Xenopus tropicalis: one gene and its partners. The protein of the gene in region 4 interacts with the protein of the main gene of each other region in a pairwise test. Links are inferred from orthologs where the notes say so. Each region holds a gene or a part of one and is shown on either strand. Other genes may lie near its edges.

Region 1 (4,036 bases), on a different chromosome or scaffold from region 4:
CCATGCCATTACTATGATGAACTCGTCTCTAGGTCTCACCTCATCATCATTATATTCATATTCGGAGTCAGAACTGTCTTCCTCTTCACTCTCTGGAAGGTACTGCAAATTCTTGTGTGTCACTTCAACCAGCTGTTGTTGAATCAGCATGTTATTTCTGCCCCATGTGAGCTGGCACGGAGAGTAGCCTTGGTACGTGACTCTGTTTACATCTGCTCCGTGCTTAAGCAGCAGTTTCATCAGGTCGTAGTTCTGCAGGTCCACGGCCATATGCAGCACAGTGCGACCATTGCAAGGCTCCTGTGGTGAGGGAAACAGAAATTTCTCTTAGATCTAGAGGCAAAATTGAATCCAATAGACATGGCAGGAAGAAACATCAGTATGTAGCCAAGTGAAGTAGGGGGAATACTGACCTGGGCATTTATATCAGCCCCCTTATTAATGAGATTTTCCACAATTGCAAGATAGCCATGGATCGATGCCAGGTGGAGGCACGTGTGACCTGCATCGGAAAGAAAGATATTAGCAAGGCAGTTCTAATTCTAATTTGCCAAGTAGCACAACAACACACGTCTAAAGGTTTATAGATTAAGTTTGATACATACCATCATAGTTCACAGATTGCAGAAGTGCTGGCAGTTGTTTCTCACAATACTGGAAAATGACCCCAACTCCCCGAAGCGAGCCCTGCTTGCAGGCAATGTGCAAGGCGGTGTTGCCACAGAAGTCTTGGATTTCTGGATCACAACCAGCCTGGAGAAGTGACTGGCTGATGTCTTGTTGTTCGGTGATTACTGCCAGATGTAGTGCTGTCTGCAGAAAAGACATTAAAAAAAAAAAGAAAAATCAGTAAATTCATTCTCATTAAACACAAAATTGAACTTGCAGAATAAGCTTGTACTATATTCTATCCCTCATGAACATGCTATGAGTGCACTGACTATTAATATTTTAAGTGCTGGCCAACTTACATGTCATAGGTCAATTATTCCACAAACTGGCCCTCTATTATACTTTATATGTTAAAATTCCTTTGGAGGGCCACATCCGGCCCACGGGCCTCCAGTTGGACAGCCCTGCCCTAACCGACAATGGTGGCACATGACAAGCTAATCTAGAAATAAAGTTTTTACAAGGTTTAGAAAAAAAATAAAAAGTAAATTACCTGGTGCAGATTATTCTGCTTGTTCAGGTAAAAATGGTCCCTGTATGAACGTTGGATTGCCTCCTTCACCAGGGTTTTCTCTTCATGGATAATTGCCAAATGGAGAAACCTAGAAGGGAACATAAAAAGGACATGTTAAAATAGAGAAGCAAATTTGTGTCATTTAACCATAAAAAAAGAAAAGATGAACTAGCAGGTTTATGGGAAATGACAAACTAGCTTTCCAATCTTAGCATCTTATTACAAAATGTCATTTCTGTATTTACTATTTCATCATTCAGAAGTAGAAAATGTACCCCCCCCTCCCCTTTGGGAACCAGTAAGTGAAGTGGTGTTAAGGTTCAGTGTGTGGGAAAGATCGAGGTGAATAAAACTTCATAAATTTAGAAACTGCCAAGCAATAGGAAATAATAATTCATAATGAACCTATTTCATCATAGCGGCATGTCGGTGAGCTGCAATACTAGTCAGTGGTGACACAAGTGTGTACTTCCCCCTCCCCCAGCCAACTATGCAATTGTGTAAGTCTGGGGATTTTTTCTTCTCTAGATCTGTCTGTTGTTTTCCGCTTTCTGCTGTGAGTGTGAGAGTGTGTGTGTGTGCAGTTGTGTTCCTGGCTACTGGCCAGGGACTTTCCAAAGCCAGAGTCCTGCCCCTGGGTGCCTGCCAGCCCCCACCCCTCTGAGGCAGCAAGTCAGAGAACAAGGTGTCCTCCCACCCCCCCTCCCTCCAGCTCACACGAAGAAGGGAAAACCCAGACAGATATGGCGTCTCTTCTGCACCAACAAAAAAATTCCCCTACCAAGAACAAACATGCACCAAGCCATCTAACAGCTGCCCGGCGTTGCTGCATGCTTGCAAATACCAATGCATGATATAAAAAAAGCATTAAAAGCACAAGGGTTTTTAACTATTTGCACAACTTACTAATACTGCATGTTTATGGTTGCATGAAAAAGCTGCACAATAAATTGCAGTGTTATGCAGTGTAGCCTGCCCCATGCACCTAACTGTGCATTCACCATAAAGAAGTCATGCATTAGTAAATATCTACATATCCTACACTAAACACTGCCCCAAACCTAGGTGTCCCTGTTATATATATATATATATTAGTGCAGCACTATAGAGTACTATCCCTTTATCAGTATATACACTGTGCAAGGCAGATGTAATGGTTTTAGATGTACTAATACTAAGGTTCATCGCCCCTATACAATATCAGTAGATACTGAGCACAATCCCCAGCCATATAACGAACCCATTCTCTATCACTTACGTGTCTCCATCTTCGTTGACCTCTTTCTTCCATGGCTCCGGCTCATAGTTCGATGTGTCCGGCGGGCCCTCCATTCTCATGTTGCTGAGGTCAGTAATGATAGCCGTGTATTCCTCCTCCTTCAGGGAGTCCAGGCCGCTATCAATGCGATCGTCCTGCAGCAGTTTGTCCTTCCGGAGATCCCTAGCTTCTCCCTCCATCATATTCCCTTGGTAATCGTGAAAAGGCACAGACATGGCGGCGGCCGGTTGTTGAGCTTCCCCGCAAAATAGCTTAGAAGACACTGTAGAATCCCAGTTGCGATAGTGAAGTTCTGTAGCTGTAGCCTCCTCTATACTAATCCCATCCGATCAGAGCGACTTCTGGTAGCGATCTGGCAGCTCCCTCCCCCAGCAGGCTACTTTTACATATACAGCCGGGGTTTTTTCTGGGTGGAGCCGAGCTCAGTTTCCTACTTGTGAACTATTATGTACTCTGGGAAATTCCAAGAATAAGTCAGTATAGGAACACAATGAACCTGACGGAGCCAGTTCTGTGGTACAATAAAAGGAAGAGCGCAGAAATATGTACAAGGCTCAGAAATTCCCTTTTTTCAGACGTGCGCAGCTACTCCATGTACATTCCTCTCAGCACACTCACCATTCCTGGGACACACTGGGGGGATTCGGGCAAAAATACACATTAGTTCCCCACATCATACTCGGCATTTATATGCGTTAAATATACCTTCGTCTGACAGACTATTGATATTATGCTAAATACATAAGAGCTCAACGTCCGGGGAGCCATTTGCATTTTGCACCTTAACCCACACACACAACCGACTTGCACCTAATGATTGATGCTAATGCCATTTTGTTTTATTTCAGCAACTTCCAGAAACGAGGGGTTTACAAACAATGCAACTTTCGCGCAATGTTCCCCAAAAGGCTGCAAAAATTGCGTCATAAGCAGCAAGATTACACTGGGATTCTGGGGAATAACGTTGCATTGTGGGTGAAACATGGAATTTTGCACTCTTTTGTGCATTGTAGTAAGGCTTTCCCACTGGAAAGAAATACAGGTCTTCCTAAATTTTCATCTCTCTACCCAGTTAACATTGGGATATTGCAGTATTTTAACTGGTCAGGCCAGTATAATAACCTCCAGGTGGCAATCCTAATTGCAGTTTGCATTTGCTTTAAAAAAAACATAAGCCCCTTTGTGCATTATTGTTGGGATGAAATGAGATTGTATGAATTTAATAGTTATTATTTTTATAACGATAATAGTTTCAGGTACCTTGCTTAGGTGAAATAACTTAATTGCCATTTGCCGAAGGTTATCTGTCCGTAATTCTTGTGTGGGAATAAAAGTAGTAAACCAAAAACATCATGGAATACTTTGACTATACTATTGTGCGCTCTGCACTAGTGATGTGCCCAGGCCCGGGCCTAGGGCGGCATAAACATAGGGGCGGCATGCTGCCCCGCCGCACGCAAATTTCAAAATTTTGCTCCCATACGGAGCAATGGGGACCTCTCCCCACTGCTCTGTATGGGAGTTTTAACTTTGGCGCATGCGCATTAGCGCGGCGGCAGGGGAGGAGGAGG
Region 2 (3,500 bases), on a different chromosome or scaffold from region 4:
GGCTGTATTTACATAGACCTTTCTAATAAAGCTTACTTAGTTTTTACCTTTCCTTCTCCTTTAAGGGGAAAACAAATTTTTATTGTTGGCAGTGGAATTAAAAAAAAAAAAAAAAAAAAACTAATTTGGAAAATGTTTTTAGTGATTTAGGCAGTTCTAATTTGGAAACTTGTCCGAAGGTGAAAAACCCCAATAATTGAAAGCTAAACATAATGACATACCTTCAGAATTTAAGGTGATCAGGGTGACATTGTTGCCCATATTTGGGTTTCCTGAATTACCGCAATTAGACAGTGTATCACTAGCCTCAGAACCACTGTCATTGTCATCATCATTGTGGCTGTCCTCAGGGGCAGGAACTTTCACTACAATTGTGTTGTGTCTTCTTCCAGGAACTGCACTGAAATGTAGAGTAATATTTTTTTTTTAAAAAACTCCCATACTATAGCAACACAATAAGCAACAAATATTGTACTATAAAAACTTGATAGCAAAACTAAGAAAAGTTCATATTTGTTGTCATAGCAACATGCAGAATAACTACACCCATCATCACCTTTGTAATAATACTGTAAACAAAAAAGCTTAAAAGCTGTATTAAAAGCTGTAATATGTACAGGGTGACATAAAATGTTTTGTATTACTAAAAAAAAAGATTAAAAACATTAAATATTGTTAGAAGTGGTTGGGAGAAAAGCCATCAGGTTACATTTTGAATTAATATCATTTCATACAGTGGCAACATAATAATTAGCAACGATTGCTCATCCTTTACATCACACTCTGCCTTGTGAACACCGATACATTGGTGCTGCATGAATGTAGAGAAATCAGTACTTCCCCAAAAATGCATTTTTCTGCATGCAACATTGTTTCATAGATAGTCACAAATCAAGAGTATTTTAAGTGAATCCAATTTAAAGGGAAGATTTAATAAAAAGAGATAGAGAAAACTAAAACAAGATTTATATCCTGCAGGGCTAAATAATACCTTTGAATTGCCCCTAATCAATCTCTCTCAAGAATCATTGGCTACAATGAAGATGAAGGAGATAAAGAGTCACAAGTAATGTGTTGGACTGGGCCGCCGGAGCACTAGGAAAAAACCCAGTGGGCCCTGGCAAGCCAGACTTGATCCCAGCAGGGTGCACCACTAATCCGCCAGTTTAATTTAGGCACGATTGATTGGTAAAACTGTTTTGTCTATTAAAGGGGTGGTTCAACTTTAAGTTAATTTTTAGTTACAAAATGACCTAATCCTAGCAACTTTGCAACTGGTTTTCATTGTCTATTTTTTATAGCCTTTTTAATAATTAACCTTCCTCTTCTGACAGTTTTTAAGTGGTGGTCACAGACCCTAAAGGTGGCCATACACGCTAAGATCCGCTCACTGGGCGATCAAGATTTGGCCGATTTCCGGCCAGATGTTGGTCGGGCAGGCCCGTCGTTAATGGCCATACACGAGCCGATAAACTGCCGAAACGGTCTAAGGGACGAATATAGGCAGCTAGAATTGGCCCGTGTATGGCCACCTTAACAGTCTAAAACTATTAGTTATTTTTACTAATAAACTAAGTTTAAGTAACTTTAAGTTTTAATAACTATTTTACATTTAGTTGATTGTTCACAGTAACACTCTTCAATACAGAGCAAATTCCATATTTAGAAGGAATCCACAGTTTAATACACAGGATTTAATTATCTTCATTAATTTTCTTTAAAAAATGCAGTAAAAAGGCTTTAATAATGAGTTTTTAGAAAAAGGGGGCATAACATTCCTGCTCTGAAAACCTTATTTACATATTAAGCAGCCATATTGCTTACCTAAGCAGATGAGTACCTGTAAAAGGAGCAAAAGAACAAAACTACAATTATAGCAAGAGGTGCTTTGTAAGAGGACATTGCCAGACAAGAAACAGATGGGACAGAAACAATTTCCCACTCCTCTTACCAAAGTAGATATAGTTGACCTCAATTATCATAGTCATTTGTGAAGAAATAGGTTATTTACACTTATAATAAAGATGCATGTTAAAAAAAAAAAAACTAACTATGGTTAGATTCATCTTTTGGTGTCGGGGGAGGCTAGAAGATAAATAATAAACTATTACCTATTCAGCATGTTTTCAAGGGTTTCTGTTGAACTGTTTATAGACTCTTCGCGACCCTCCAGTTTAGTCACACCTGGGGTTTGTCTTTCACTGTTCAGTATTACTGTAGTCTGCGGTACAACACTAAAAAAAGAAACAGACATTTTAAGTGGTTTTAATGTCACAGGGTCCAAATACTTTAAGCTATTGGTAATGAAGTAAACATTTTACTAGAAATCCATATTTACATAGACGAAAAGGGACAAAAATGCTACTGCAAATATTCATCAAATGTTGCATGCTTTTATATAATTAAATGGTGAAGATTTTTCATATTTAAAAAAAAACAAAAAAAGCCATTCTGCTCTGTTTTATATGCATTCAACTAGGATGTCAACCATTTACAGTCATCATTCAGCTTGACACAGAATAGTCTGTGAGTATGTACAAAAGAATGCTGGTTATAAGAGTGATAGAGCCTAGGTACATACACAAATGGTCACAAATTAGAAGCCAACAAGTTACACAAACAATCTATTTCTCCTTTAATCTGGACTAACACAAGAGTAAAAGGTTAGTTTTAGAAGATTTCAGTAGTTATTTTATTACTCAAAAAGAGACACTTTCAACAAAACCCATACAGCCAGCAAATGGTTTTGGTTTCAATATTTTGCCAAAAATACTTAGTAAGAATTTAGTTTTTCAAGTGCAAATTTAAATATTCTTACTTTTTCTTATGGTAAGAGAAGCCTAGTTGAGTAATCAGCTTTTTCAGTAAATGCTAAGTTTTTTTTTCCAGCCTGTGAATATCCTTCCTGTGTGTCCAGGTCTGATGACCAAGTTTGCGAATGGGAAACCTTGTTTCATCAGCTTCATCGCAGAAGTCTTGAAACCAAAACTTTGACTGCATTTTTTTTCTTAGTTTCAGTGCAGTTTAATTTACACATTACACATTTTCAAAGTCCTATAAAACTACTAATATTCCTAGCCTGTGCCAAATGGTGCTTCATAAAGGCAGGATAATGAGTTATCATCAATTCTCTGCATGTCACAGCGGGATCAGGTGATTTACACCACTAATTGGCATGTAAACAAAAGAAAAGGACAGATCAAAAAGTTAGCACTATATTACAAGTACTAGATTCAACATTTTCACCATTTTTGAAAGAGACATAAGCTGCCACTTACAGGGTTAGACAGATGCTATCATTTTTAACTTGCATTTTCTAATAAAAAATATAAAACAATTAATGCTTTATTATTTAACCCTACCTAAACTAAGCTCATGGTTATGGCTTTGACTGAGTTGGCTCTCTGTCTGTGGCTGGAGGGCTATAATCTTACCATCTCATCCACAGCCTTTCTATTGTTATGGTTCCCTAATAAGAAGCTGTAAGATGCAAAGCCTAG
Region 3 (3,500 bases), on a different chromosome or scaffold from region 4:
AAGCACCAATTATATATATATATTACAGGGGATCAGAAAAATGTGTAAAATCTGTGAAATTGCAAAATCAGGGAAATGCAGTGTGTATTGTTATTGATGGAACCAATAATAATTCATACTGAAAAAAAACTGTAAAATGTGGGAAAACTTTATATATGGGGATGTGGTTTTACTGTATTCATGTGCTTAATCATCTTCACTTTCATCATAACCATACATCCTTATTTAGGGATTGAGGAGTCAGCTAGTTCCTGTAAGTTCAAAGTAACAGACAAAGCTTTGGACTCTGCTAGTGGCTACTGCTACTGTAGATCCTTAGAGGAGTAGGATGTTACTAGGTTCCCAGAGAACTGGGCACAGACCTTGCTTTTCAAGATGGAACAGGTAATCCCCTCTAAACTACTTAGTTATACCTAGTGCCTATGAATGTTTATGCATAAAAGTACAGTCACTGCAAAACCAAAAAAAAAGTGGTTGTGTTTTTTATGGATAATTACAGAGGAATACATTTATTAAGATCCTCTGAATAAAAATGGGGCTTATATCCTTTCCTAAGAGCATATGCTCTAACTCTTTGTCTAAGTGACTATTATGTATATCGTGCTTGATTTGGCATAGTTGTATAAGCATTACATTACATTTTAAATACTACAGTTTGATCAGTATTGGTAAACCTGTAATAAACAAACCTTTAATAATTTTTAGTTACAGAGTTGACTATTGGTTCTTCTATACTATCTTCACAAATCTGTGGTCGCCTTATTAGGGTATACAAGACTGGTGGGCAGGAGTGTGCCAAAACAAAGCATAGAGGGTCAACTTGGCTAATTCCTCTGGCAAATTCATACCTGTCTGTTGTAGTGTGTATATACTGTATAGTGGATAATGTACCCCCTATTGTAATTTATTAAAATATTAGAAGTCACTGAGGAGTTACAAGACCATATAAAAACATGAGGCCTCAGGCAGAGTGCTTTTATCCGGGTCACACCAACCTTTTTTATTCTCCACCTATGTTTTACAGATATATGTAAATACATTTATAAATGCTAGATAGAAACAGTGTGAGGGCCAAGGTCAAAAAGTTGTGTTAACTATGTACAAATAATCAGGAAAAAATTTAAAATTGCCCTTAATGTATAGATAGATGGCCGTTCATGCTCTGTTATTGTCTACTGAGCAGCTTGTTGTCCCATGCCTGGTGCCAGAATTATGGTCATTATTATCCACGGCCGATTGGGACTTTTTTTGTCAGTTGATAATGCTGAAACCCACCTTGGGTGAGGACCACCCTAGACAGCGCTGCATGGGCCTCTTATGATCTGACTATAGGGTCATCTAGATTTGTCTCACAGCTTTGGTGGTGAAATCCTGCACTGACCTGAATGATTGCACTGATGTTTATTATAATGACTGCATGGTAGTTGCAATTTAATCTGTGAAAGTTACAGAACATCAGTATAAAATTACTTTTTCTAAAGTAGCTCTAGGCAGCTTTAACTTTCAGGCTTTACCAATTTTTTTGCATGTTTTTAATATAAGAATAAAATGGCATTTACTTGTTGTCTCTTTAAAGTTATTTATGTATTTCTCCTGCAATAATTGGCTAAACAGTACATTTCCAGCTATGTTTTCCTAATTTCTCTGTATCCCCTTATAAGGTATTATTTAGTAAATGTGCCTCAAGGTCCATTAAGAACAGTTTCTTATTGTTGCTGTAATTAAATTGTTCCCACAAGTCTAAGACTTGTTTGAGCTATTCTTTAATATGTAAGCCTCTAAACAGATTTCCAAGAAAGGGTAAGAGTTTTATTATTTATTGTTTTGTTTAATTAGTGCAGCCAAGATGCAGTGTATAAATCTGTAGACGAGACATGCAGGGATCCTTGAATTGAAAAATCTATACATTTATGCCTAGAAGTATCACATGAAACACAGAGTATAACCTAAACTGACAAAGGGTAAAGTCCCAGAATGTGTTCAATGTCAAGAAAATGTTCATTTACTACTTCTGTAAGTGTAACACATATAAACACACATTACAATAAGTTGAAATCAGAATTTCATTTATTTTAGAACAGTGTTTTACTTCAGCCCAAACTTAAGTCATTTCTTTTCTACCTCTGCCATTTTCAATTCTCTTTCCATCCCTCTCCTCATCTACTGTACCTCTTCCCACTCAACTGCAAGTTGCATCCATTTAACAGCATTTCACTAACCAATTTACACCTGATTGCAGCTGGCAATAATAAATCAATGTAAATACTAATTATAAACAGGGTATGCTCTTCTATAAAGTGTTTTCATTTGCAATGATGTCTTGTTTATCATGCTCTGATCAATGTACAACATTCTGTTTGGAGTAAAAAATGTTTTACTATTTGTTGTTTTTTAGGGAATCAGATTTGATCCAGAAATTCCTCAGACGCTACGCCTTGAGTTTGCAAAGGCAAACACAAAGATGGCCAAGAGCAAGCTTGTAGGCACCCCAAATCCCAGCACACCTCAGCTGAACAGCGTACCTCAGTTTATCTCTAGGGACCAGTGTAAGTGTTTATACTCTGAAATACTTTGTAATTGATCACTTGCAGCCATTAATATCACTGTAGTATCATGTACAGTTCCATGAAGGCAAGTTCCATATCACATGTAAAGGATGAAATATTGATGAAGATTGAAAAGAGAAAGATTAATGTGAGGGTTAATGAAAGGGAATGCTATGCAGGAATTATGAACAAAAATAAGAAAGACAAAGGAACAGTATGCAGAATGGATTGAATCTCACATTTAAAATAGATTCACGGTTGAAGGAAATGTCTCCATTTTAAATCAACATTTCTACTAGTAAAACTATTTAAAAGGCTATAGGAACATATAAATATTGTGGGTCTGGTCCATTGCTCTTGTATAAAGGCCTATATTCCATTCTGGTTACACAGTGTGTTAACGGAAGTCTATTCATTGTTGTACCTTTCACCTTCTTGCTCTAGTAACATCTGATGAAGAGATTAATAATAGGTTTTTCTACAGTCACCCAAACTGTACAAATGATATGCCGAGTACTAATAGTAATTAGCTTTCCTGAATGGTTGTACTTTTGCTTCTATTTACCCACAGTCAATGCTGTTAGGTTCTTCCTGGATTCTAATCTTGCTAGTAGCATGTAAAAAAAGTCGCTGAATATTAATCTATGATACCCTGACTGTTTCTTTAAATTGAGAAAGATTTTTAACATGAACTATGATAATGCCCTGATCTGTGATGTACATAGAATATACAATTCTAACATGACTGGGGTTTCCATTAAAACATATATCTGAAAATGTGATCCATTTAAAGAAGGATGTGCCACAAATATTTTACAAATATTTTACTTGAATTTTCACATAAGAAACCCTAAATAATGTCAAAATAAAGTAAAAATAAATGTTCTTTTTTAACCATGTGACCAGTAAATTCTATGTTAAAATTAGTTTACATAATTGACTAAACCTGTGGCA
Region 4 (4,037 bases):
AGAGAAACAGCATGTCCTATTACTGCTTGATTTGCTGCTGACAGGCAGTCATTAAGATTGCACAAAGGGGCTGCATTCTTATTATGGAAAGGCAAGTTAATCAGAGCAGCACCTATAGGGACCCAAGAGTGCAGGGGGGCACAGTGTAGCCCTGCCATTTCTAACAATTTTTTTATTTGAATATTTGAATGTAAAATTGGTGAGTTTCCTTTAAGGTTTGGGGTGGGGGTCATGCAATTATTTTGCTATGGGACCTATAACACTGCAACCCCAAGTAAGTTGCCAAAAAAACCTTATGTACCAATTACGATTAGGTATTGTAAACAAATCCTTCAGGTCTAATATAAGCACATTAGAATACTGGTTTAATTCAGCTGGCTTACTGTGCCAGAGGAGAGCTAACAACACCCACTAGAAACACTGTCAGGCTCAGGGAGATTTATGCATTCTACATTAAAATGCTAGATTCCTCTTTATGCAGCCTGTTGCTACATGTGAATTCTGACCTAGCAAAGTTCACAAGTCTCTAGGCAATGGCAGTACATGCATTAATAATTAAAAATGTTTGTTTCCCCTGAGAGTGGAGTGATTCTTTCTTGTGGACTGTGGTACATACAGATTATCCACAAATGTACACTTTATTTCTGGAGTTAAGGTGGCCATACACCAGCAGATCCGCTCGCTTGGCGATGTCGCCAAGCGAGCGGATCTTCCCCCGATATCCCCACCTACGGGTGGGCGATATCGGGGAGCATTTAGGTTAAAAAAAAAATAATCCAATCGTTTGGCCCTGGGGCCAAACGATCGGATTATGTGGGCGGCAATGGGGCAGTCGGATCGGGGACCGCATAAACGAGCCGATGCGGTCCCCAATCCGACCGGATTTTCTAACCTGGCCGATCGAGATCTGGCCAATTTCAGGCCAGATCTCGGTCGGCCAGGCCGCTCTGCTCTCCCCATACACGGGCCAATTAGCTGCCGAATCGGTCCAAGGGACCGATATCGGCAGCTATAGTCGGCCCGTGTATGGGGACCTTTAGCAACAACTGGAGGGCCAGAGGTTGGCAATTCTTAAAATTATAACTATAAATCAGGAGTTACACAGTGTATGTCATTTGTATTTTTCACTTATAATGTTTTCTGTTCAAGGGGTCTATTCTTAGGTTACCCTCTCTGCCCTGCTCTAAATACAGCAGTGGATGAGGTTTAGGGAGTGACAGATAATTGCTGTTATATCCTAATGCAGCTCTCGCTCTGTAAGAGGCTGTTTTTATAAAGGCTGTTTAGGAACTATAATATATTATATAATTATGATGTCATACAAAAAGGGGCTATAATATATAATATAATTATTATGTCATACAAAGAGACTGATGGAACCTTGTAGCAGATTAGGGGCTATAATAAAGTCACATTTAGGACCACATACAGCTTATGGGTCTCAAGGACGACAGTGCTAAGGCATTTTAGACATTAAGAATAGGGTATGCAAAGAAACAAGAATGTGTGCTGTACAAAGAAAGGTCAGAAATGAGCAATACATGTTTCCCAAGGTATTGCTGAACTGCAGCTGAACTGCAACTCCCATAATGCTTAGAGTCACTCTAAAGATGGTATGAGCTGTGACCCAGCAACAGCTGGCTGCTACAATTTCAACATTCAGAACCACTGTGTTTTAAAACAAGGAATCATTGAGCATAAATAAAAGAAGTACTACATCCCACGCACTAAATACAATTTTACTAGAAGCTAAAAATAATCACTTCTAATCAAAGGAACACACAGGGAAAAAACACAAGACATTGTCGTAGGATTACAGTAGCAACAGGTCACCCAGACACCATCACAGTGTGGGGAAAATCATTTCTACTGAAAAAAACTGGGAGAAAATCATTTCTACTGAAAAAAACTGGGAGAAAATAAATGGGATACAATGCATTAGAGTATCTGCCTATTTATTATCCTGTGCCATTTTCTGTATGAAAAGTTCTGAATAGAGAAAGCCTTTGGTCTTGTTAGCATTCACATGAAGGCTTGATGCCTGCAGCGACCATCTCTGGGGCTGGAGTTGTGGCACACAATGAGGGGTTAACCTTTGCCATAATGCCTCATTAAAAAGTCAGACTGCAATCCCTCATTCCCCAAAACACTGCTGGGAGGCATCCAGAGCTGTATCATTAATGAAGAGCAATAACCAGGGCTTGGAGCCTCTCAAATGAGACACTACTGTCTGCTCTGGATTAGTGTGTCCTGTTGGAAGAGAATATAAAGCAGTCTGGCAGTCTCCACCAGCAGTTAAACGCCCTCCCTGCACAGTAAATTTACCATGCAAAATAAGGTCTTGTCTGGGAGAAAGACACATTTTTCCTTAAATTTCACAAAGCCTTAAGTCTAGAGTAAGTCTAGGGAATGTACATGCTCATTAACATGAATATCCTGTGTAATGGAGCCTGCTCACAGCATTATACCCAACTATATACATTGTGGCAGTACATGCAGAATTTACATGTACACGTTGCAGCAGGCAGACAGCAAAGAAAAAGGCTAAATCAGCTACATACAGTTTAGCTATGAACTCACCTTGTACTTCATTCTTGCTGGATCTCCTCTGGGTCCACTTGATAGTTACAGAATCCACATTGGAGAGTTTAAAGCCCAGCGCTAACTCCAGACCAAGGTGTTAGAGTGCGTGGCAGCTATAAGTGGATTTCAAGCAGAAGCAGCAGCAGCAAGCAGACTTCACTGTGGGACCATACAGACCTATCTGAGAGCTGTTTGGGTTTGCTGAGCACAAGCTGGGACAGCTATTTGCATATGGCCTCCCATTAGCCAGGAAGGCTGAAATGAGAACGTGTCACATACTGCTGTTCCCGCCCCTTTAGTGTACTCTGAGCCCAGCAGGCTGAGAGTGTATTGTGTGTGTGCTCATGTCTATATCAGGATTGAGCTTGATTTGCAAGAAATGCCATGTAAAAAAAGAAACTGACTCACATTGCTGCATTGCTTTGACCTGGCAGCAGTCGGAACTTGACATTTTACTTTGAAGCCTAGGAATACAGTATCTCAATAGAAATACTTTGGTTGGGGGCAAAGGTTTGTGGCAAAGGGGTGTGTCTTCCTGCCCGTTCTGACTAGATATATTGTTTATGCTCACTTCGAAACCTCATATATATCCTAGGAACCAATCCTTTTGGAATTTAGATTGAAGGAACTATTGTTGCCCCACAGCAATATTTTGGGGAATGAGGGTGTGCAGTCGGATTTTTTAAAAAGGCTTTATGGCATTAACCCCTCATTGTGTGCCGCAGCTCCAGTGCCAGAGGCATCCAGTGCTACAGGCATCAAGCCATTCATGTAATAAAATAGAGACTAAAGGTGGTCATACACTTTCAGATCCGCTCGCTTGGCGATGTCGCCAAGCGTCCGGATCTTCTACCGATATCCCCCACCTACGGGAGGGCGATATCAGGAGAATCCAGGCTAATTGGGCCAAACGATCGAATTATAACGACGGGTATAGGCAAAGTCAGTTCGGGGACCGCATTAATGAGCTGATGCGGTCCCTGATCCGACTAAATTTTTTAACCTGCCAGATTTCAGGCCAGATATCAGTTGGGCAGGCCCGTCGTTAGTGCCCCTACACGGGCCGATAAGCTGCCAAATTGGTCTAAGGGGCCGATATCGGCAGCTAGAATTGGCCGTGTAGAATCGGCCACCTTAACCTAGAGGCATCTAACAGCAGCCCCTCTGGCATTTGCCAGAATCTACTGATTGCCAGTCTGGTTCTTATGCTTAGAACTTTTCATACAAACAATGACACAAGATAATAAATAGGCAGATGATGCCTTGTATCCCATTTATTTTCTCCCAGTTTTTTTCAGTGGAAATGATTTTCATTGCCCATGCTGTGATGGTGTCTAGGTGACCTGTTGCAACTGTTATCCTATGACACTATTTTGTGGTTTTCCCACCCTGTGTTTGATTATTTTTAAAGCTTGTAGTAAAATTGTATTTAGTGTGTGGGATGTGGTATTTCT
Region 5 (4,272 bases), on a different chromosome or scaffold from region 4:
GGATTGTTTTGTGAAAAGCATGAAAAAATTTGCCGCGTAAAAATTCGCCACACATCCAAAAACTCGCCACAAAGCCATGCCTGGTGAAACATTTCATCAATTGTAGCCGCATATAAATAGTCGTGCGAATAAACACACGCCATGTTAGCCATACACGCCAATACTTTCGTAAAATTACTGGATTAAAAATGACCATTTCCCTGCAAACTGGAGGCTGCATCACTCTAGGGCCAACACAGACTTGAATAAATGCCACTGCAAAGTCCATATTGTGTTGCCAAAAGCTCACGAACCACAATTTCCTTTAAGTATCGCCTGCCCCAAGTAGGTCTTATTTTTCGCATAGCCTAATGTGATATTTAGCGCGCCTAAGTGTTTGTGAATCATGCGTTAGCATTATTTTCAGCGCGCTAATTAATGCATGCGTTAAAACTAACGCATGCGGTTGCACGAAAATTAACGCATGCGATATGCGACTTAACGCACGCGGTAATACTGTAGTGAATCACGCGCTTATTGTCACGTCTATTTTAACGCAAAAAAACGTATCGCACTACCATAAAAGACTCTTTTTTTCTTTTTCTTAGACTTTAGGTTGGGGTCAATAGTTTGCTAGTTACTATGACTCACACTGACAAAGCACAGAATTAAGAGAAAAAATTGAAATAGACACACACACATATATGTATATATAGATGCAAACAGTCAGTAAGCTGCACACCATTAATATTGGATGCTACCTGGGTGCTAGTGCAGATAAGAGAGAAATGACGGCACTCACAGGGATTTTCACACAGGAACTGGTCCTCAAGGCTGGTGTACCAGTCGAAACTTCAGTCTTTGTTATTTGCTTCAATTAATAATTTTTGTTCACTATAAGCCCTGTGTGGAGCGGCCCGTTTTTTCTACAAGTATCTATACATTAAACCAAGGACTCCACCCAGGCAATGGATTCTTCATTTTTCGTGAGTGCCTACCTGATGGAACTTTATATATATATATATATATATATATATATATATATATATATATATATATGGTTTATAATGTAGCGTAAGACTAACCCATATATCTCCCAGTGTCACCTGATTCTGAACTGGATTTCCATTTAGAACATGTGTTATATGCTTTAGCTGCGTTCTCCTCTTGTTTGCCCAAGCAGACAATTGTAAGATAAATACTCCGCATGATCATTTTCATTATTGATTCTGTCAAAAAGTAAAGGTTTAATCATTGCTTCACGCGTGCAGCTTTAGATATGGAAGCACATAATAAACAAACATCACTTTGACTCCCACAATCAGATCCAATTGTTGGGACTGTTAATCATTAATGGGTTTGATGTAGACACCACCATTTTTTTACCCCTGCAAGAGCGCAGATAACCCAATTCATTACTGTTACGTCACTTCCACATTAAATAACACTACCTCTTAGTCACTTTTTTGCTTTGTCAAAATAAAAGCAGATGAATGAGGAAGAACCATCAAGCTGATGATAAACTGCCCTTAATTTGACAGCAGATCTGTGCCAACAAATGGGTGTGATTATGGGCTTGCCTTAAAATAACTCAAATGATGTCAGACCACTTTTCACCTGGACTGGGGGAAAAGTGTCCTTGAATTCTGTGAAGTTCCTTTCAGCACAATTATATATTGTAATATTACATTGAAATATTACATTTTTCATCTTACCTAAACATCACATTTTGGTTCTCCTGGGACATGGTTTTTTTTAACAGAAACTTTTTCAGCCTTTTTTGATGGTTGCATGGGCATTGCCTGAACCTGGTGACATGCCAATTGAAAGATTTTCAGAGACACAAGAAGGTGACTGCCCCTTCCAAAATGGAGAACCCTTACCAAAAACAGCCTCAGGGATGGAGGATTGTTATGGAACTATGGTAGGGAAGGATTTACTTTCATATCCACAAGAAGATCTCTGTGAACAAGCACAGGAAGACATTATGCTAACACCAGAAGAGGAAGACTCATCTGTGAGTCTGGGCATAAAAACAGGTAGGAACAAATTTAAATTGTCTATTACATTAACATTGACATCCCTGATATCCCAAGCAGAATATACAGTAAATGATAAGCTTTTTATCATAAAAAATATTATTTTTTCTCGTGGATGCATACTATTACCTGTTTCTCTCTCCATTACCTGTTTCTCTCCTGTTTTCTCTCTCCCAGCCCCATGCTGGGAGTACAATAGGCAAAGCTGTGGTAGTAACATATATATATAGTGAATAATGCCCCCCTATTGTAAAACATATCATGCATGGGATGTCTGATGTCCTGATATTTTACAAGAGGGTGCACATTGCTTTATCATACTTTAGCAGGGGCAGAGTAAAGAAGGGGATTATTCCACAAGCCTGTGCTACACATTACATGTGCCTTTCCCAGTTTTTTGAGTATGTTGTCATGTCAGTGTGGATCAGATAGGGAGTTTTCAGCACCGGATCAGCTGTAAATGAAGTGATATGCTGATATCACTGTATGTGTATTAACAAAACATAGTCAACAATAAAAGCACTTCACCATAAGTGCAAAATTGGGATTTTTATTAATTATTCTGTCCTTTTACCTTTTCCCCCCTTTTTAATATGTTGATCTCTAACTGCTGGCCGCAAGAAATGGACCTCTCCAATGAGATGTTTTCATCAGAAGATGAGGATTTAGATATTATTTATAATAAAAATGCTTTGCTAACCAATAAAATATCACAGAGGAAATCCATCACTCAGATCATTAAGGATAAAAAGAAGCAGACTCAACTGACATTGCAATGGTAAGTATATGGTTCTGCAAAAGTTCCAAAAAACTTGTAAAACAGTGAGCTTGCATTACTTTAATTTCCTAAACCATGGCATTAATTACAGAATTCCATGCAAGGGTCATGCTGTATTTCTGTTCTTGTTATCCTTTCCATTCTGTTGAATGCATCTATCTAATGCATGCATTGTACACCATAACAAGAACATGGCTCCTTGAGAGATGAGTAGATTGGCAAATTATTTAATTTATTACTCATTGCTTAAAGGTCAGGAATTTTTAAAAAGCTTCAGAATCTGGGCAACCAGAAGTATGCCATTCAGGGACACATTAAACATTTGTGTTTAAAGGGTATGTTCCCTCTAGAAATGTACTTAAAGTATGTTACAGACAGCAGTAATATTTGAATTAAGTAGAAAACAAATTGCATAAAAAATAAAAACTACCAGTTTGCGACTGACAGGCTAATTGACTGAAGAGATCAAATAGCAGGTTGGCTAGTAAGACTGCCAAAACTGATAAATTATTACAGGATTTTTTGGATAAGGGGCCATTCTGTAATTTGGATCTCTATACCTTATATCTGCTAAAAGCATGTAAACATTAAAGAAACCCAATAAGATAGTTTTGCCATCAATATGGATTCATGTAGCTTACTTACCGTCAAGTACAAGGTTCTGTTTTATTATTACAGGGAAAAAAAAAATCATTTTTAAACATGAGAATGATTTGCTTATAATGGAGTCGTATAATGGGAGCACGTAATTTAGAGCTTTCTGAAAAACAAGTTTCGGAGCTTTTCAAGTTGCTGGTGTTGGATAAACTTCCTTCAGAACAGATTGTCTTCTGGGGTCTGATTTTTGGAGTGTTATTACAATGTGATTTTTACCTTTTGGGCAATGGCACCCAATGAGATTAGTTGCCCCCGGTTAAATCTTGGCTACTGCAGGTGATTAATCTACCCAAAATGCCTTCCTACCATCAAAAAAGCGATTTAATGGTTAAAAGGCATACGTTTTCTGCAGTAGCCAAGATTTAACCGTGGTCAACTAGTCTCACCATGTGTCACTTCCCTTTGTGATGTGGTTATGTGACTTTCTCTGCACCTTATCTTAAAAATTGGTATTTCAGCCATAGTTCCAAGAAAATTCAAAACAGCAAGCATTGTTCAATCTAAAGGGTAGATTTATGAACACAAATACAGTGTGCAAAGTGCAACTTTGGACCCAAAATTGCCATCTCTTTTACCCATAATGCTTAAAGTTGTGCCCAATGGGTCAAAACAGATGCAACTGGGCTTGCTTTTGATGCAAATGGGGTGAAAGTTGCATCTAACATTTTTAAAGTTACATTACTTCTGGAGTGCACTTTCAAAACAGCATTTGCATCTGATTCATTGGGTACAAGTGTGGTGTATCTATTGACTCAAACTGCTGTGAGAAGCTGGAAATTCTGTTGCCAGGGTTCTCCAGTGTTAATAGGAGCAGTTGTA
Region 6 (3,500 bases), on a different chromosome or scaffold from region 4:
CTGGCGTTCTTATAAAACAAGGGTCTACAGTAGCAATGAGCAAATTCGTCTTTCTTCACTTCACTGTAAAATGTGCGAATCTTAGAAAACATTTGCAAGACAGCAAAAAATTCTCGAAACAGCGAAAATGACCCGCGTCAAAAAAATTGTCTCGCAATGTTTTTTACACGTGGCAAATTTTGGAGCCCATTTCATGAAAAAATCTGCCAGTGGCAAAATCCATGCCTGGTGAAAGATTTCACTCATCACTAATTTACAGAATTGGTGTTGGAATGGCTCCACTCAGTAATATCTGTATTATAGTACAATTCAGTTGTGGCCCTGACCTACTCACTGAGGGGACTACCTGGCTGGCAGTAATTGCAGGCTTCCCCTTTTGTCTGTCTGGGAACTATCATGTAGTTCCTCGGAGCAGGTTGGGCATGGCATTGGGGCTGACACAAGTTTTCAGGGGCATGTAATGGTGCAAGAGTAAATGAAGCCTTTGTGAATGACTGGGCAATTTCAGTGCTTTACAAATAAACTCACAATTGTAGATGAGCCTTAATAATAATAATAATAATAATTATAATGTCTTAATAATAATATGTCTGTTTCCATTTCAACAGTTTACGAAATACATTACAAACATGTCTGCAGGCCAGATGAGGGGGTGCCAGCATAGTAATTATATCACCATCAGCATGACGGCTCCCATTCAGAACATGCATACAGCTGTCACACCAAGTACTAAAGTCCTGGATATTAACTGGCTATACCACATTCTTTCTAGGAACAGACACAATAAACAACTACCAGAGCTCATACTGTGTAACTAAACTGTGGACTCATCTGTACATGTTAGTGTTGTCTAACTGGGGTAAAGGTGTTTCATTTATTCAACATACAACCAATAAATAGGAAATACATTAAAATGCATGCACACTATTATATTTTTTAACTAACTCTATCTCCTTATAAAGGAATTGTGTAACTGTTACAGTTTTCATATATTCCTATATACTAGAAAAACACCTTTCAGTTGAAAATAAATCAGAAAATGCTTTAGTGAATTACAGGAAAACTCAAAACCGTGAAAAAAGTGACATTTCTTAAAAAAAATAAAAGTTTCAGAAATTAAAAATATTTACACATGAACCATTCCATTTGCATTTTTAAGTGAAAATGGAATTGGCTGCAGTGTGCAACGTGCAACTTTCTGATAGAATTCACCATGTTTTGTGGTCATAAAGCAGTGTTTTGATCCCTGAATTCCAAGTGCATCTGCCACATTTTCAGTTAGGGTTGCATTACTTTTGGAGCTAAAACAGTATTAGTGCATATGTCTGCTGTTCCTATAAACACAACCTGCTTTGGGAACCCTGGAATAACTGGTATGTTCAGGGTGGCAGTAGCTCCAGGCAGGGCCGGAACAAGGGGTTGGCAGAAGAGGCACCTGCCTAGGGCACCACGGTGGGGGGGCGCCAGGCAAGTACCTCTTCTTTCACTTACCACTAGTTCTGGGCCCATTCCCCCCCCCCCCATTACAGTACTCCCCACAACCCTGCTGCCTTGTGTATGAGCGGGGGGGGGGGTGGCAGTTTGGGGGTATGGGGACAGGATGGGGCGGGGCGCACAGGGTCCAGGGTTCCCTTGTGTAGGGAACTGGTAAATTGTACCTTTTCTAACTCCGTGGTCCCCTAGTATTGGACAGCTACGAAGGGTTGTTAATGTAATGGGAAGTAAGTCCCTTGTTCCTTGGTCATAGCATGACCCCTTGTGCAGTTCCACAGTTTGGCCATTAGGTGGCACTGTGATATAAAAGGCTCAGCAGCCATGAGGCTGGAAGCCATTTTGTGAAGCTCTCTGCCTGAGCAAGCAGGCAGAGAGATACTGTGGAAATCTAGGAATAGGTAGGTTCAGAAAGAATAGCCAGCTCCTGTTATAGATCACACTAGGGGGCACATTTACTAACCCACGAACGGGCCGAATGCGTCCGATTGCGTTTTTTTCGGAATGATCGGTAATTTTGCGATTTTTTTCGGCGTCTTTACGATTTTTGCGTAAAAACGCGAGTTTTTCGGCGTCTTTACGATTTTTGCGTAAAAACGCGAGTTTTTCGTAGCCATTACGAAAGTTGCGCAAAGTCGCGCCTTTTTCGTAGCGTTAAAACTTAAATGGCGCAACGTTTCGCGCAAGTTTTAACGCTACGAAAAAATCGCGACTTTGCGCAACTTTCGTAATGGCTACGAAAAACTCGCGTTTTTACGCAAAAATCGTAAAGATGCCGAAAAACTCGCGTTTTTACGCAAAAATCGTAAAGACGCCGAAAAAATCGCAAAATGTTCGTTTCCAATCGGAATTTTTCCAATTCGGATTCGAAATCGTGTCTTAGTAAATCAGCCCCTAGGTGTGATAGACAGGCAGGGCTATTTAGTGAGCAGCATTTTGGCTCCGACCAGGAATTGTAAAGGGATTATAATCCCGGGTATAATACTGCCCAGAGTAGGGTTAACAGTGTACAGACCTAGGGTTAGATAGTGATCACCCAGGTTCCACTGGAAGCATATACCTGAAAGCTGGGAGTTAACCCATTGTACCCTGCAGCTAAAGGGTTATTCTGACTATGCTGTGTAAGTACTGCCTATGCTGTGAGATGCTACTACCTACCTATTCTATGCTGTAATTACACTATAAGTGGCTGTGTAAATAAACAGTTCATGGTTTCAAGGTTAAGAACCACTGGCGCCCATTTATTGAGAAATACAACAACATATATGCCTGGCCTCCATATAAAGTGAGGGCTCACCCCTGAAGGATACAGTCTCATCCTGGGTAAAATACGGTGTAGCTTGTGGTAATAGAAGGGCTAATTTACTATAAGCTTACACTTGTATCAATAGATAAACTTTGCAAGGTTTAGCAAAAGAGGTGGAATGGATGCAATGGCACTCAGCACACCTATACGGAAGTGTTTGGACATAAGTACGAGTTAAGTAAGAGTTTCTACTTCATTAGTCATTTTTAAAATGAATGCAGATGCTTATTTAGACGAATAGTACAGAATCTACCTATTGTATAATGTGCTTCAGCACATTGTAAGCTTTGGTAATTGATAGATCAGCACAGAGGCATGTACAGCAGTGACTTTAATGTTATTTTGGGGTGTTTGGATCCAGGTATAATTTATTGTTGCAGAGACAATATTGGATTATAGGTGTCACAGAGAACACGGTTACCTTGCAAACTGCCGTCCATGCTCTCCCCTGACATACTGCCACTGCCTTCTTCCACACTGTGGCGCATTGATACAGAGCCACTCTTTGTGTCTAGCTGCAAAGGCATCTCCACAGCCTGGACATATATAAAAAGATAAGAATTAGTGCCTCATATAATATAAATGGATAATAAGAACTTTCTCTCTTCTCCTATTGAAATACATTAAAAATATATTGATCTTTGTGACAAAAGCAATTGTAAAAATATTGTAGAAAAGAAAGAGTTCAATGAATGATTATGTA

Evidence for each region.
Region 1: the proteins of nedd9 (region 4) and nfkbia interact in binary tests that used the Homo sapiens proteins (3 or more experiments, as listed by UniProt). The two-hybrid records come from large-scale screens. The link is inferred for Xenopus tropicalis from reciprocal best matches to the Homo sapiens genes NEDD9 and NFKBIA.
Region 2: the proteins of nedd9 (region 4) and banp interact in binary tests that used the Homo sapiens proteins (3 or more experiments, as listed by UniProt). The two-hybrid records come from large-scale screens. The link is inferred for Xenopus tropicalis from reciprocal best matches to the Homo sapiens genes NEDD9 and BANP.
Region 3: the proteins of nedd9 (region 4) and rbpms interact in binary tests that used the Homo sapiens proteins (3 or more experiments, as listed by UniProt). The two-hybrid records come from large-scale screens. The link is inferred for Xenopus tropicalis from reciprocal best matches to the Homo sapiens genes NEDD9 and RBPMS.
Region 5: the proteins of nedd9 (region 4) and rfx6 interact in binary tests that used the Homo sapiens proteins (3 or more experiments, as listed by UniProt). The two-hybrid records come from large-scale screens. The link is inferred for Xenopus tropicalis from reciprocal best matches to the Homo sapiens genes NEDD9 and RFX6.
Region 6: the proteins of nedd9 (region 4) and nab2 interact in binary tests that used the Homo sapiens proteins (3 or more experiments, as listed by UniProt). The two-hybrid records come from large-scale screens. The link is inferred for Xenopus tropicalis from reciprocal best matches to the Homo sapiens genes NEDD9 and NAB2.

What each region holds. Positions count from the first base shown.
Region 1 is NC_030684.2:109,511,895-109,515,930, forward strand, and holds the start of nfkbia (NF-kappa-B inhibitor alpha), read right to left. Parts: upstream 2,801-4,036; 5' UTR 2,681-2,800; coding exon 2,445-2,680; intron 1,275-2,444; coding exon 1,166-1,274; intron 814-1,165; coding exon 606-813; intron 503-605; coding exon 414-502; intron 301-413; coding exon 40-300; intron 1-39. UniProt on the Homo sapiens protein: Inhibits the activity of dimeric NF-kappa-B/REL complexes by trapping REL (RELA/p65 and NFKB1/p50) dimers in the cytoplasm by masking their nuclear localization signals.
Region 2 is NC_030680.2:65,855,095-65,858,594, reverse strand, and holds part of banp (protein BANP), read right to left. Parts: intron 2,235-3,500; coding exon 2,112-2,234; intron 401-2,111; coding exon 222-400; intron 1-221. UniProt on the Homo sapiens protein: Controls V(D)J recombination during T-cell development by repressing T-cell receptor (TCR) beta enhancer function. Binds to scaffold/matrix attachment region beta (S/MARbeta), an ATC-rich DNA sequence located upstream of the TCR beta enhancer.
Region 3 is NC_030677.2:83,887,483-83,890,982, reverse strand, and holds part of rbpms (RNA-binding protein with multiple splicing), read left to right. Parts: intron 1-2,395; coding exon 2,396-2,546; intron 2,547-3,500.
Region 4 is NC_030682.2:90,788,457-90,792,493, forward strand, and holds the start of nedd9 (enhancer of filamentation 1), read right to left. Parts: upstream 2,801-4,037; 5' UTR 2,593-2,800; coding exon 2,581-2,592; intron 1-2,580. UniProt on the Homo sapiens protein: Scaffolding protein which plays a central coordinating role for tyrosine-kinase-based signaling related to cell adhesion. As a focal adhesion protein, plays a role in embryonic fibroblast migration.
Region 5 is NC_030681.2:74,672,155-74,676,426, reverse strand, and holds the start of rfx6 (DNA-binding protein RFX6), read left to right. Parts: upstream 1-1,472; 5' UTR 1,473-1,762; coding exon 1,763-2,018; intron 2,019-2,639; coding exon 2,640-2,796; intron 2,797-4,272. UniProt on the Homo sapiens protein: Transcription factor required to direct islet cell differentiation during endocrine pancreas development. Specifically required for the differentiation of 4 of the 5 islet cell types and for the production of insulin.
Region 6 is NC_030678.2:139,246,424-139,249,923, reverse strand, and holds part of nab2 (NGFI-A-binding protein 2), read right to left. Parts: intron 3,334-3,500; coding exon 3,219-3,333; intron 1-3,218. UniProt on the Homo sapiens protein: Acts as a transcriptional repressor for zinc finger transcription factors EGR1 and EGR2. Isoform 2 lacks repression ability.